Linked DNA regions of Arabidopsis thaliana. The protein of the gene in region 1 interacts with the protein of each later gene in a pairwise test. Each region holds a gene or a part of one and is shown on either strand. Other genes may lie near its edges.

What was found. Proteins that work in one complex are often made in the same cells at the same time.
Region 2: the proteins of ABCB29 (region 1) and ESL1 interact in a protein complementation assay, tested with the Arabidopsis thaliana proteins (one large-scale study listed by BioGRID).

What each region holds. Positions count from the first base shown.
Region 1 is NC_003076.8:1,054,299-1,061,459, reverse strand, and holds the start of ABCB29 (ABC2 homolog 12), read left to right. Parts: upstream 1-4,287; 5' UTR 4,288-4,354; coding exon 4,355-4,945; intron 4,946-5,068; coding exon 5,069-5,155; intron 5,156-5,229; coding exon 5,230-5,337; intron 5,338-5,421; coding exon 5,422-5,688; intron 5,689-5,789; coding exon 5,790-5,873; intron 5,874-5,994; coding exon 5,995-6,211; intron 6,212-6,310; coding exon 6,311-6,396; intron 6,397-6,492; coding exon 6,493-6,680; intron 6,681-6,761; coding exon 6,762-6,891; intron 6,892-7,000; coding exon 7,001-7,147; 3' UTR 7,148-7,161. Other genes in the region: CPSRP54 (chloroplast signal recognition particle 54 kDa subunit), read left to right, coding at 1-62, 155-292, 385-604, 703-788, 880-1,005, 1,088-1,195; AT5G03930 (F-box protein), read right to left, coding at 1,417-1,953; AT5G03920 (F-box protein), read right to left, coding at 2,779-3,303.
Region 2 is NC_003070.9:2,863,867-2,871,027, forward strand, and holds ESL1 (ERD (early response to dehydration) six-like 1), read left to right. Parts: upstream 1-3,392; 5' UTR 3,393-3,579; coding exon 3,580-3,726; intron 3,727-3,816; coding exon 3,817-3,879; intron 3,880-3,976; coding exon 3,977-4,066; intron 4,067-4,144; coding exon 4,145-4,270; intron 4,271-4,364; coding exon 4,365-4,430; intron 4,431-4,531; coding exon 4,532-4,607; intron 4,608-4,702; coding exon 4,703-4,767; intron 4,768-4,849; coding exon 4,850-4,942; intron 4,943-5,037; coding exon 5,038-5,118; intron 5,119-5,211; coding exon 5,212-5,296; intron 5,297-5,384; coding exon 5,385-5,428; intron 5,429-5,511; coding exon 5,512-5,574; intron 5,575-5,648; coding exon 5,649-5,729; intron 5,730-5,847; coding exon 5,848-5,901; intron 5,902-5,993; coding exon 5,994-6,053; intron 6,054-6,147; coding exon 6,148-6,262; coding exon of another isoform or gene 6,263-6,324; exon of another isoform or gene 6,325-6,364; intron 6,365-6,369; coding exon 6,370-6,494; 3' UTR 6,495-6,790; downstream 6,791-7,161. UniProt on the Arabidopsis thaliana protein: Sugar transporter. Transports monosaccharides across the vacuolar membrane independently from a proton gradient.

The DNA.
Region 1 (7,161 bases):
GAGCCATTTTGACAAAGCTAGATGGTGATTCAAGAGGTGGTGCTGCTTTGAGTGTCAAGGAGGTTTGTTTTCTTCTTCTTTAATCAATTATTTTATAGAAATTTACTTAATGTTGCTCAACATTGATAGTTTACACTTAAATGGGTGTTACTAGGTATCAGGAAAACCGATTAAACTGGTAGGACGTGGAGAGCGAATGGAGGATCTTGAACCCTTTTATCCAGATCGAATGGCTGGACGAATTCTAGGAATGGGAGATGTGCTTTCATTTGTAGAGAAGGCAACAGAAGTTGTAAGTTCTTTCTCAGTAAAATTACAATCAAAACTATGTTTTCCTCTCCCTCTCTCTCTATCCATTGAGGCCTTCTTCATCTGTCTTTATAGATGCGTCAAGAAGATGCAGAAGATCTGCAGAAGAAGATAATGAGTGCAAAGTTCGACTTCAACGATTTTCTAAAGCAGACTCGTGCTGTAGCGAAAATGGGTTCGATGACACGAGTTCTTGGAATGATTCCCGGAATGGGGAAAGTGAGTCCAGCACAAATCCGAGAAGCGGAAAAGAATCTTTTAGTCATGGAAGCAATGATTGAAGTGATGACACCCGGTTTGTCTCTGTTCCTTTCTTCCATTCCATTAAATAAACAAGCATTTCATAAACTAGATTTTGGTTGTCTAATTCTTGGTTTAAATCTGTTGGAACAGAGGAAAGAGAGAGACCAGAGTTACTAGCAGAATCTCCAGAGAGAAGAAAAAGAATCGCTAAAGATTCAGGAAAGACAGAACAACAGGTACTCTCGCTCAGATTGTGAGCTTAGTTTTGTGCAGATCTCAGACAAGAAGAAGGAGATTCTCAATACCATTTTGTTGTTGTTGGTTCAGGTGAGCGCACTTGTAGCACAAATCTTCCAAATGAGAGTGAAAATGAAGAACTTGATGGGAGTGATGGAAGGAGGATCAATTCCAGCATTAAGCGGTCTCGAGGACGCATTGAAAGCAGAACAAAAGGTTTCTTCCATTTCTTCTTCTTCTTCTTCTTCATCTTTAACATGTACCAGAGTTTAATGGGGTCTTGTAAATGTATCTTAAGGCTCCACCTGGAACTGCAAGGAGGAAGAGAAAGGCAGACTCAAGGAAGAAATTTGTAGAGTCAGCATCAAGCAAGCCTGGTCCTCGTGGCTTCGGCTCTGGTAACTAAAACTATTTCAGCCCAATTTGGTTAATTTCTAAACGGATTATTTTTTTGTATAAGTTAATGAATGAGACAGAAACCTTACAAGTTAATTACCAATTTGTTGACAAAACTCATGATTATCTAGGTAGAAATATATTCTTATTTAAATATCATATAATCGACCAAACAAAATGCATACAAATTGTACTTTTAAATATTTCATAGGCTTTGCATAACTAAAATACTTAGATTTTAGATGGGAAAAAACATTGAAGATAACCAAGAGTATCGTCTTGGGAAAAATATCTCCCCTCGCCTCGGTGGAATATCTGGAGGTCGATCTTGTCCAATAACTCGCTGTTGAAACTCAGCTGGATTTCGGCTGTTAGACCACGATGAGCTAGTGGAGCAAGAAGATCGTTGTTCAGCCATCCAAAGTTTGTGCCTAATGGCCTTTCAGCATTAACGATTCTAACTACCGCCTCGTCTTCCGAGTCTTCCTTATAAATGACCTCGCACTCGATCTTTACACCAGCCATTCTAGACTTGGAGATTCCCATATGGCTCAAGTTTTCGACTTGTATATGGAATCGATCATTGGAGCCACACTCTAGCTCCGCGCCACATTTCTTAAGTGGTATCTCCTCACAACTTATGGTAGAAGATGATAGCTTTTCTCGGGTAGTTACGTAAATGACAAAGGTGAGATCCGACAAGGAAATTTTGGGTTTGGTAAGTTTCACTTCCTTAGCTCCGGAATGTTCTCCTTCTTTGGCCATCATCACCTGTGACTTCTCTTTTCTTTGTTTTGGAATGAGTTTTATGTTATTCACCATCCATATTTTTAGTGTTACAAATCTTCTTTATATCTCACCACAATGACTCTCAATTATTTTTATGTTTTTTTGCATTAATTCTCATTAATTGTTAATTGATTAATTAGGAGTAATTTTTATAACAAAATATTGAATTCCTATAATCTCCTTTTCACATGCATATATTATTAACTTCCAAATTTATTGCTCATGGTTTAAACATTATGTGTTAACATATTTTTATACTACATTATTATTGTATGTATTTAATATCATAGGTTTAAATATAAATTTAATTAATAATATGCAATTATGCATGGCACGGGGAACCACTAAGACTATTGTCATGATATTAATATGCTGTTAAAGGGCTTTAACGGGCTTCGGGGTTTAAAAGGCCTCAGATCTTAGCAACCGCTTAAATTCTCGGTTTAGTTTCGGTTAAGACGAATTATCATCAAATTAGAATTAGAAGTTGATATTCCTTTTGGTTCGATTCAATTTGTTTTGGAGAGAAATGTCATTTCTCCTCCGCTTAACACCGCCGCCGTTATCTCACCGCCGGAGCTCATCTCTCTTTCTCAAACATCCATTTCAACAATCTCCGAGACCTCTGAGCTCCGGTAAACCCTCGAAAATAGGGGATAAAAAAAAAATAGGGGATTGGTTTCTTGTTCATCAAGCATCAACGCCTTTGCAGTAAATTTTTTGGTGCAAAACAAAGCTCTTGATTATTTAGGTAGAAACGCTTACATATTTTTAAATTTCACAGACTTTGTATATACATAATAATTAGTTTTTAGAGGGGAAAAAACATTGAAGATATCTAAGAGTATCTTCAGGGGAAAAATATCTCTGGTCGCTTTCAATGAATATCTCAAGGCTGATCTTGTCAAGTAAGTCGCCGTTTAAACTCACCTTGACATCGCCGGTTAGGCCACGTCTGATTAGATCTTCTGGAGCAAGAAGATCGTTGAACAACCATCGTAAGTTTGTGTCTAATGACCTTCGACCTTTAACGATTGTGACAATGTTTTGCCAATCTTTCTTATAAACGACTTCCCAAGTGATCATTACATCATCCATACCAGACTTGGGCAGTTCAAAACGACTCAAGTCTACGATTTCTATTTTGAACCGGTCATTAGGGTTAAACTCGCGGTCCGCGCCAAATTCTACAACTGTTAACTTCTTTGATTTGGTTGTGTACACGCCTATGACAAAGGTGAGATCCGACATGGAGATTTTGGGTTTGGGAAGTTCCTTAGCTCCCGAGTGTTCTCCTTCTTCGGCCATGACCACCGGGGACTTCTCCATCTACTTTTAACCTCTCTTTGTTTTGGAATGAATTTTGTGTTTATATATTCACCCTCCATAATTTATATATAGTGGTACAAATCCTCAATGAATTAGGAATACTGGAACTAAAATTGATTACAATTAAATATCTAATATAGAGTTTTAATTTTCGTCATATATTCTAATAATATAGAGTATTTTTTTGAATAATTTACAAAATATATGGAAATTTGTAGATTTATACTAGCTAGGTGTATTATGGGCCATTCTGCAGCATTTCATGGTTATGAGTCCAACATTTCATACTAGGTGGATTAGATATTAAAATAATGAATTAATTTAATTACTATAATAAATTAATAATTTTCAGATTTTATTATTTTTAGAGATTTTTTATGATTTAATTTAGTATTGATTTTTTCTTATTAAATATTAGTTAGATAAGGGTGTTAAATATTTTGACAAATGTTAACACATATTTTTATCTAATTAGATTTATTCTCTGAGTTATTTCAAACTAAATTAAAATTCTCTCACAAAACAAAATACATATGTTATTAACTGATTGTAAACTTTCATTTGTGTCAACAAACTACTTTTACAGTTTTGAAACAACTTCTTATTCATGACATTTGCTCTATAATTATACTAGGTGGTGGACCTCTCCCACCATGTTACGAACCTAAATCTAAAATACATATATCAATATGTTACAATTTCAACTAAAGTTAATCGAAACGTTTTAAATTGCAAACAAAATTAACTGAAATTTAGTTTAAATGTTTTTCTACCAAAAACTATAAATCTCTTGAAATATTCAATATAGTGTGTATAATGAGTTTTAAAATTTATTTAATAGTTGTAAAGTAAAACTATTTGGGGTTAAATATCAACCTCTTACTTGATAAGATCAGGTTGGGCCTCGGGTATTAAACTCATAAAGGCCTCAGATCTTACTTCTTAGCAATCGCTTAAATGTTCGGGTTTAGGTTCGGTTCAGAAGAATTATCACCGAATTAGAATTAGAAGTTGATTCGTTTTGGTTCGATTAAATTTGTTTTGGAGAGAAATGTCATTTCTCCTCCTAACACCGCCGCCGTGTCTTCTCATTCCTCCGCCGCCGCTATCTCATCGCCGGAGCTCATCTCTCTTTCTCAAACATCCATTTCAACCATCTCCGAGACCTTTGAGCTTCTGTAAACCCTCCGCTCTCCGTCTCCGAGCCAATACAACAGTCAATTCACTAAAAGCCCTCGAAACTATTAAACCCTATCTTCAATCGGAATCTAAAACCGTCCTACTTGGCTGGCTCTGCAGCTGTGTCTCTGTTGTCTCGCTTTCTCAGATTGTTCCTAGGCTCGGCTCCTTCACTTCCAACCTTAACGCAAACGCCGCGAGCTTGACGAAGCTCAAAGGCGAATGTCTCGTTTTGGCGGGTCTGGTTTTGGCTAAGGTTGTTGCTTATTATCTGCAGCAAGCGTTTCTTTGGGAAGCTGCTTTGAATACTGTTTACAAGATTCGGGTTTTCGCGTATAGGAGGGTTTTAGAGAGAGAACTAGAGTTCTTTGAAGGTGGCAATGGGATTTCATCAGGAGACATTGCTTACAGGATCACTGCTGAAGCTTCTGAAGTTGCTGACACTATCTATGCTCTTCTCAACGTGAGTGTTTTGCTTGTTATGAATGTTTTGCGAAGAGAAAGTTTCCTTCTTTTCAGAATTTTTTGATACATTGTGGTGATTTTGGCTAACAACTATAAGCTCTACACTTCATTTATATGGCAGACAGTTGTGCCCAGTGCTATTCAGATATCTGTAATGACGGCACATATGATTGTTGCAAGTCCTGCCTTGACACTAGTCTCTGCAATGGTAAGTGAATCAATTGTCTCTGTTTGTGTCTCTTTTGCTCTAGAGTTTTCTTATTAGTTTGGGTATTGTTCTAGGTGATACCATCTGTTGCGCTTCTTATAGCATATCTTGGTGACCGGCTTCGTAAGATATCTAGAAAAGCACAGATTGCCTCTGCTCAACTTTCTACCTACTTGAATGAGGTATTAGTCTTTCCTACAATTGGTGTTTTTCTTCTTCTTGTTAATTTACGGGAAAATTACTAAAGCAGAGCTTTTTATGTTTAGGTTCTTCCTGCAATTTTGTTTGTCAAGGCTAATAACGCAGAGATCTCTGAGAGTGTGAGGTTTCAGAGGTTTGCTCGTGCTGACCTAGATGAACGGTTTAAGAAGAAGAAAATGAAGTCACTTATCCCTCAGATTGTTCAAGTTATGTATCTCGGATCATTGTCGATATTTTGTGTTGGAGCTGTTATCCTTGCAGGCTCTTCTTTAAGCTCTAGTGCAATTGTTTCCTTCGTGGCATCATTAGCTTTCTTGATCGATCCTGTCCAGGTAGATACTTGTGTCAGTGTGGCATTCCATGCCTTGCCTCTATACTTTTTTGTGTATAGAGGAGCTGTCTTATTGGGATTTTGAATCTAAAAAACATGCAGGATTTGGGAAAAGCTTATAATGAATTGAAACAAGGAGAGCCAGCGATAGAACGTTTGTTTGATTTGACCTCTTTGGAATCTAAGGTACTACACCCTATCTTTCCTCTGATCTTCTCTTCAGTTTATACTCCTAATGATTTGGTTTTGTTCGTTGTCTATCTCAAAATATGATGCAAAGTGCTTCTGGCCCTGTCTTGAAAATTAGGTGATCGAGAGACCTGAGGCCATTCAATTGGAAAAAGTTGCTGGAGAAGTTGAGTTATGCGATATATCATTTAAATATGACGAAAATATGCTTCCCGTTTTGGATGGGTTAAATCTTCATATTAAAGCAGGAGAGACTGTAGCTCTTGTTGGACCATCTGGAGGAGGAAAGACAACACTGATCAAATTGCTCCTCCGCCTTTACGAACCTTCATCTGGTTAGAAATTCTTACTTCTTAACTTAATCACAATATTAAGAACCAACGGTTTGACATCTAAGCACATATGTGTGTTTGTTTTTTTCTTCCCTTTAATAGGCTCTATCATCATTGACAAAATTGACATCAAGGATATCAAACTGGAAAGTTTGAGGAAACATGTTGGTCTAGTTTCACAGGACACAGTACGTTCCAGTCTTCAAATTTACTCCTTTCGTGATTCATCCCAAGAATTTCATAATGGTTCATCGTAGTTACATAACTTTTTTTGCACATGCAAGACTCTGTTTTCAGGGACAATTGCTGACAACATTGGGTACAGAGATCTCACGACAGGAATTGACATGAAGAGAGTTGAGCTTGCTGCAAAAACTGCAAATGCTGATGAATTTATCAGAAACCTACCAGAGGGATACAACACAGGAGTTGGTCCCAGGGGTTCAAGCTTAAGCGGAGGCCAGAAGCAAAGGTGGGGTCTGGAAGACTGATTGTTTCATATATTCTCTTCACGATGCTTACTGCGTCTTGTTCTCATTTGGCAAATGTGCAGACTAGCTATCGCAAGAGCGCTCTATCAGAAATCATCCATACTGATTTTGGATGAAGCAACATCAGCATTGGATAGTTTGTCGGAGTTGCTAGTCAGAGAAGCTCTTGAACGTGTAATGCAAGACCATACGGTAAAAGCACACATCCGATTCTTCCATTCTAAACAACCTTTTAATTGAATCATCACTGATATTATTCAAAAACTTCCTGGTTCCATGGCTCTTATGTTTGCATTCACAGGTGATAGTGATTGCACATAGACTGGAGACAGTGATGATGGCGCAGAGAGTGTTCTTGGTAGAGAGGGGAAAACTAAAGGAATTGAATCGCTCTTCTCTGTTAAGTACTCACAAAGACTCACTGACATCAGCTGGACTCGTGATTTGAGATTATGTAAGTAT
Region 2 (7,161 bases), on another chromosome or scaffold:
ATCCTCCAAATACCATGAAAAACTGAAAAGTTGTATTTACATTTGATTCAGTTATTTCTGTCCAATGTTAATTAAGTTTTTCTAAATCCAAATCCAAATACACAATAATTTGAAGTCAAACTTACACCAGCTCAACTTTGTTAGTGCCAAAAACATGCCTAATAAAAATTGATTTGAAAATCCACGAATATAAAGATACCGGTACTACTTACGGAAGGCAACTTAGTTTAATACAAACTCGTAGGAAGCAAAAATAGACCATTCACTCCGAAAAGGACGTAGAAGTTTAGGCCAATATAATAATTGATATGTTCACCCATTTCCTGGCACCTTATTATTGGAGTACCCACTTTTATTTGTGTCACATGGAACTAATGGACTAAAACTTGCAAATCTTAAAATGAGTCAGTAAAAGGAGGCTAGACATAAGACATTAAAGAATCCCAACATCATGATACTTAAAGATACGAGTCACTAACTTTTTTTGTCCCAATATCAATGATGAATCACCTTTCTCATTGTTGCTACTGCATTTTTCTCTTATTTTAAGACCAAATATAAACAAAATACAAGTTAATACATCTCTGAGCATGTGTTGATTCGATTATCAATCGGATTAAAGATTTGAATATACAAATCAGATTAAATCAGGAGCTTGATAAGGAGCTAGTTCAAATATAATAATCAAAATTATGGTAAACCTGAACCCATTTTCTAACAGCGAAGAGGGGCACTGGTTCGGAAACCAAGCAAGGTGGATGCGGTGACGGGAAGGGAACAATAAAATGAACATATGAAAACCATTTAGTAGGGTTTAAAAATGTTTATTATTTTTGGTAGAAGAAGGTTAAGACTTGAGACCATATAGACAGCTGATATATTCATATACATGGGCGGTTCTTGGAAGGATCTAGGGGAGCAAATGTCCCATGTTATCGGCTGATGTATTAGATTACATGCATAAGCGTTATTGTTACGATCATGTGAAGCAAAAACACGGCGTTCGAGGATCAACAGACCCACCACACGTAAGCGTCTCTCAAAAATCAAAATTGGTCTGCTACAAACCTACTTTCCCGCCAGCTAAACCAAGATTATTCATTTTATTTTTATTTTTTCTGCTACACAAAAACAAAAAACTCATCTAAGTTGGTATTTATTGTTTATATAATCTTTGTTTAAATGTTTGATAAAGAGCTCACTAACTTTATAAGTAATTAGCTAGTATATTTTGTTTAGCAAAAAAAAAAATAGCTAGTATAGAAAAACAAGCCAAATAATTTATTTATTTTTTGGTCAAGGAACAAGCCTAATAATTATGGTTGATATTTTTGATGTAATTGACATCGTAAGTATGTAATACGTCGTCCTCCAGTAAAAGTGTTGAATGGTGAACGACAATTGTAGAGCGATAACCTCATTTTTTTTAGGTAAATTTGTTTTTTAATCCATCATATCAATTCTTTCAAAGAAAAAATGAACCAACCATTTGTATAACGTGCGTTCAACCTGTTACCTCTACATGCAGCATAAAATTTGTGATAGTGACGAATAACGTTGATTACTCTTTGTACTTCCTTGATTTTAGTGAATGTAATGTTGCTCTATCGAGGTGGAGCCTCGTAACATTGGTAAGGCTACAAAAATGAACATCGCTCTCTCTCTTCTTTAAGCATTCCTAAATCGTGTTTTTGTTTTTCTTTTTGGCAGCATCTTTTATTTTGTTTAAACGCCTAAAACTGCCTTTGATCTTTTTTCCTTTTTATTGATAGAATGAGATAGGACAACAAATACCTTTTTTGCCGGGAAAATTCAAAGGTTGTTGATGATTCCTTGTGTCCGCAACTAGAAAGAGAAAAGTCTGTCGTATCAAATTAGATATTGACAAAAATGTCAAAATATATGAAGAAGTGTGAGGGGAAACCGTTGATTGAACGTAAGACATTTGAAAAATGGATATGTAGTAGTTTCTAGATTTGCTTACAAGGAATGTTGAGTTGTATCATTTTCTCTAACGCAATAGCTAACGTGCACGACTTTTTTTTTTTTATGTAAACTTCAAACAAACCACGATCAACGCGTTTACTATTTATTGCATGGAAACTATAGCAAGTGTGACAACTCATATCAATTTGTGATGAATTGATTAACTACGTAGGTAGTATAATATTTGTAAGTTGGTTATTCACGTAAGAAATATTGTATTTTACTCTTATCCAGATTATTTAAGAACTCGTTTTTCAATATAATGTTTGACATTTTATACTCGAGTTAATAAACAAATTAGCTTTACATTGACAAAATTCTGTTGTATATTATTTATAATTAATCTTGACTATGGGTAATTAAATAATATTTTTTTGGAAAAAAATACATTGGATTTTCTCAAATGATCACACTTCTATTAAAACCAAAATAGTACGTATACGCTCTAGACGATTCTAAATAGATGATTAATTTGGCTCGATTCATTAATTCAAAAAATAATAATATTTAGTGTTTTAAATTAGAATTAAAATATTAAATAATTATCGGATATTTCAGTGTTTTAAATTATTGAGGATGATTTTTGTTTAGTAATGACGTCAGATTGTCTAAGGAATAGTTTGGGAAAAAAATCTGAATCAAATATGACTAACAAATGGTTATTGGTTATTGAACTGGACCATAACAAAAAGACACACACACAAAAAAAAAAACTTTTTTTATCTGGTTTGCTCCATGGATAAGAATATAGTAGCTAGGATATCCTGATCTTTAGATAACGGTAGAACATGTGGCATGTGTTTATTGTTTATTTTTATTTTATTTTGAGAACAAAATAGTTACATTGTTTGGTTATATATAAAAAAAAAACAGACCAAAAAGACAAAACCAAAGCTTAAACAAAAAAAGAAAAGAAAAACTTAATTAGACCGGTTAACACTAAACTGGTTTATGTAAAACGGATTCATAAATGTATCTAGACATTCACTTACATAAAATTCATCACAAAATTTCACCCAATTACGGTTTTGATTCGGTATAGGGACCACCTTCAAAATTACCCAATAAATAAAGAGTGGATAACAACTAGCATAAAATAATCAAAGCATCCACTAAGACACAAAACACAATTTCATAAAGATGATGATGAATCACATAACTTTAAATAAATATTCTTTCAAAAAGGCAAAACTTTTAAATAAATATCATTCGCCTGTCGGCCAAGAAAAAAAAAAAGTAAACAAAAATAAATATCATACGTATTGACAACAAAAAATTCATACGCCAGTCCAATTACAAATTACACAATATTTAAAAATTTAAATAAGGAAAACAGAAGAAGATACAATTTCAAATTAAAAAACAAAATACGTGTATATAAAATTGAATAAAACCCCAACAGAAACGTGACACAAAAGAAAAGATTGGGGAAGCTGACCTCTGCCTTTCCTCCTCCATTAATCAAGGAATATAAATCAGCTTTAAACTCAGTCCTCTTATGGAAGACAAAAAAGCAAATATTTATTCGTAAATATAACTTCAGAACCCTTTCAACAAAACTCTCTCTGTTCTTTCTCCGTGGAGAAGTTAAAGATGACGATGTCGGAGAACTCAAGAAACTTGGAAGCTGGTTTGCTACTGAGGAAGAACCAAAACGACATCAACGAATGTCGTATCACTGCTGTTGTACTTTTCAGTACTTTCGTTTCTGTTTGTGGCTCTTTCTGCTTCGGTTGTGCGGTTAGTCATCAAATCACTCATCTTTTTTTTAAAACAATTTCTCTGTTTGTTTTGCTCTGTGATTTGAAAGTTTGGGGTTGGATTTTACAGGCAGGTTATTCATCAGTTGCTCAAACAGGGATCATAAATGATTTAGGTCTCTCTGTTGCACAAGTAAGAAGCAACCCTCTCTCTTTTCTTGAATCTTTACTCAAAAAGTGCTAGTTTTGCTTAAATTACTCTGTTTTTTTGTTTTTGTTTACTACTTCAGTACTCCATGTTTGGTTCAATCATGACTTTTGGAGGAATGATTGGTGCCATCTTCAGCGGGAAAGTTGCAGATCTCATGGGTCGAAAAGGGGTAAATTTCCTGACAATTTGAAATTCATACAAACATATGTTTCAAGATCATGTACTGATGAATTTTTCTCTTAAACAGACTATGTGGTTTGCTCAAATTTTCTGCATCTTCGGTTGGGTTGCAGTAGCATTAGCAAAAGACTCCATGTGGCTTGATATTGGAAGACTATCCACAGGATTTGCAGTTGGTTTATTAAGCTATGTGGTAATAATTCTTTTACTTTCTTTTTTTCCATTTATTTTGTGTATTATATACTTATTTATTTTTACTGACTTTGTGTTAACTCTGTTGCCTTCAGATACCAGTTTACATTGCAGAAATAACACCAAAACATGTTCGAGGAGCGTTTGTATTTGCTAATCAGGTAAACTAAAGAATAATTAGAGAATAAATTCTTATAACCATAAAATAAAAAAGATATATATTATACTAATGTTCTTAAAATTTGTTCAAATGTCGTTACAGCTGATGCAGAGTTGTGGATTGTCTTTATTCTACGTCATTGGAAATTTTGTTCATTGGCGTAACTTGGCCTTAATCGGTAAGCTTCTTCCTAATCCTTTTTTTCTTTCTAGCAGGTTAGTTATGAAATTTTCATCAAGAAGTGATTTAAGTTTATCGGTTTCTGTCTCTCAGGTCTCATTCCATGTGCGTTGCAAGTTGTGACTTTGTTCTTTATTCCAGAGTCCCCTAGACTACTGGTACGTTTAGCCCTTTTTAAGTTTTGATCTTTTTTAAAAAAAGTGTGAAGTAAAACTCAATATGGTTTACAATGGTGTATAGGGAAAATGGGGACATGAAAAAGAATGTAGAGCTTCATTGCAAAGTCTTCGCGGAGATGATGCAGATATCTCTGAAGAAGCCAACACTATCAAAGTATTGCAACTTTTCACACATCTCTCTGTTTTTAAATTGTGTTGTTTTCAATAAAACATGACTAATGAACAAATCATTGGAAATGTCAACTATAGGAAACCATGATCTTGTTTGATGAAGGACCAAAATCGCGGGTTATGGATTTGTTTCAGAGAAGATATGCTCCATCTGTTGTTGTAAGTTTATTCTCAAACGTTTTGTGACAAAAAAAGTTGATTTTCTCTTGTACCGTTATACTTACTCTCTGAAGTTTGTGACATTTTGTTCAGATTGGTGTGGGACTAATGCTTCTACAACAACTCTCTGGAAGCTCAGGACTTATGTACTATGTCGGTAGCGTATTTGATAAAGGAGGTAAATAGATAAACAAACTCTGTTTCGCATGTTACGATAATTTACTGTCTTCATTTGGGAGTAACAAATATTTTCTTACTAATGGCAGGGTTTCCAAGCAGCATTGGCTCAATGATTCTTGCAGTGATCATGGTATGTCTTTGTACGTAGTTTCATTTATTCGTGAAAAATCTTGCCAAGAAGTACACTTATGCTCATGTGTTCTGCTTTTGTAGATACCAAAAGCTCTATTGGGTCTGATTTTGGTTGAGAAAATGGGACGAAGACCACTTCTATTGGTAAGATTTTGCTATCTGATCTTTTGGTCAAATATCAAATGAAGCAACAAAATTTAGCATATATCTTTTAACAGATGAATGATCTTTATTTACAGGCCTCTACCGGTGGAATGTGCTTTTTCAGCTTGCTCCTCAGTTTTTCCTTCTGCTTTCGGGTAATTAACATTAACGATTCGCTTTCTAACCAAAGATATATACAAACTTTTTTTGCTGCTGTTTATTGGAGATTCTTACCAGTTATACTAAAATTTTTCTACTTTTGTTCTTGGACAGTCATATGGCATGCTTGATGAGCTCACTCCGATTTTCACATGTATCGGTGTAGTGGTACGTTTAAAGTCATTTCTTAGACATAATAAACAAGCAACTTAAAGTATAGCTCTTGTATAACTTGATCTGAATTTGACATCATATTACAGGGTTTCATCTCTTCATTTGCCGTAGGCATGGGAGGCTTACCATGGATCATCATGTCTGAGGTAAACAAACATGAACATTAACATTAACTCCTCAAAAACCGACATATATATATTTTTTCCAGCTCTAAAAAATGTTACATTTTTTATTTTGCAGATATTCCCAATGAATGTTAAAGTTTCTGCTGGGACTCTGGTTACCTTAGCCAACTGGTCCTTTGGTTGGATTGTTGCTTTCGCCTACAACTTCATGCTAGAGTGGAACGCATCAGGTATAAATACATACTACTATATAATATACTATAGAGTCATTAAACTCTCAAAAAAAAATTAGATCTTTAATCTGATTTAATTTTTGAAATATATTAATCTGTTTCAGGAACGTTCTTGATCTTCTTTACTATATGTGGTGCGGGTATAGTCTTTATTTATGCGATGGTACCCGAAACTAAAGGAAGAACATTGGAAGATATACAAGCTTCTCTTACAGATTTTCTACAATGAGATCAAGTTTGACTTGTTTAAAGTTATTCATTTTTTCTTAGATTACAATTGGGGGGAGGTTTATAGTTTTTTGTTGTAATTGTTACCTCATTTGATGTGCAATTGAGAAAGAGATCACTTGAACATAAGGTTTAGATATCTCTCTGTCTCAGTAAATTAGCCCAATGTATGTATAGTATAGTCCCAGTTTTACACCCAAAAAAAAGAAATATAAAATTGAACTTTAAGGTATTGGCTTTTTGCTTTCATTGTATATTTAACATTTTTTTTTTTTACTTTTACTAGTTGCTAATGCTATTAATCAATCTACCAGTTCTCTGAAACCTGTAGACCCACAGTTTCTACTTTCGGACTTATTTGTTCTGTATGTGTTCCACATTTCCGGCCTCATTCCTAAAAGTTGAATTGATTTGTGAGATATTTCCTTTTCAAAAATCATTGTTCTTTTTTATATTTTCTCGATAGCATAGGGTTTTCAGATACGGATAGTGATAGGGCAACAAATAAAACTAGGTTAATTCTTATCCTCTCTAAAAGTTAGTAAAGAATAAAGACAATTTATTTCCTTTTAAGGTTCCGAAAATGAGGTTTTCTAATTCTCTCCCTAGACGTAATTAAGCTATCGCTGTGCCAACCAGATTTGTGGTAGGTTACGTGCATCTGTTGA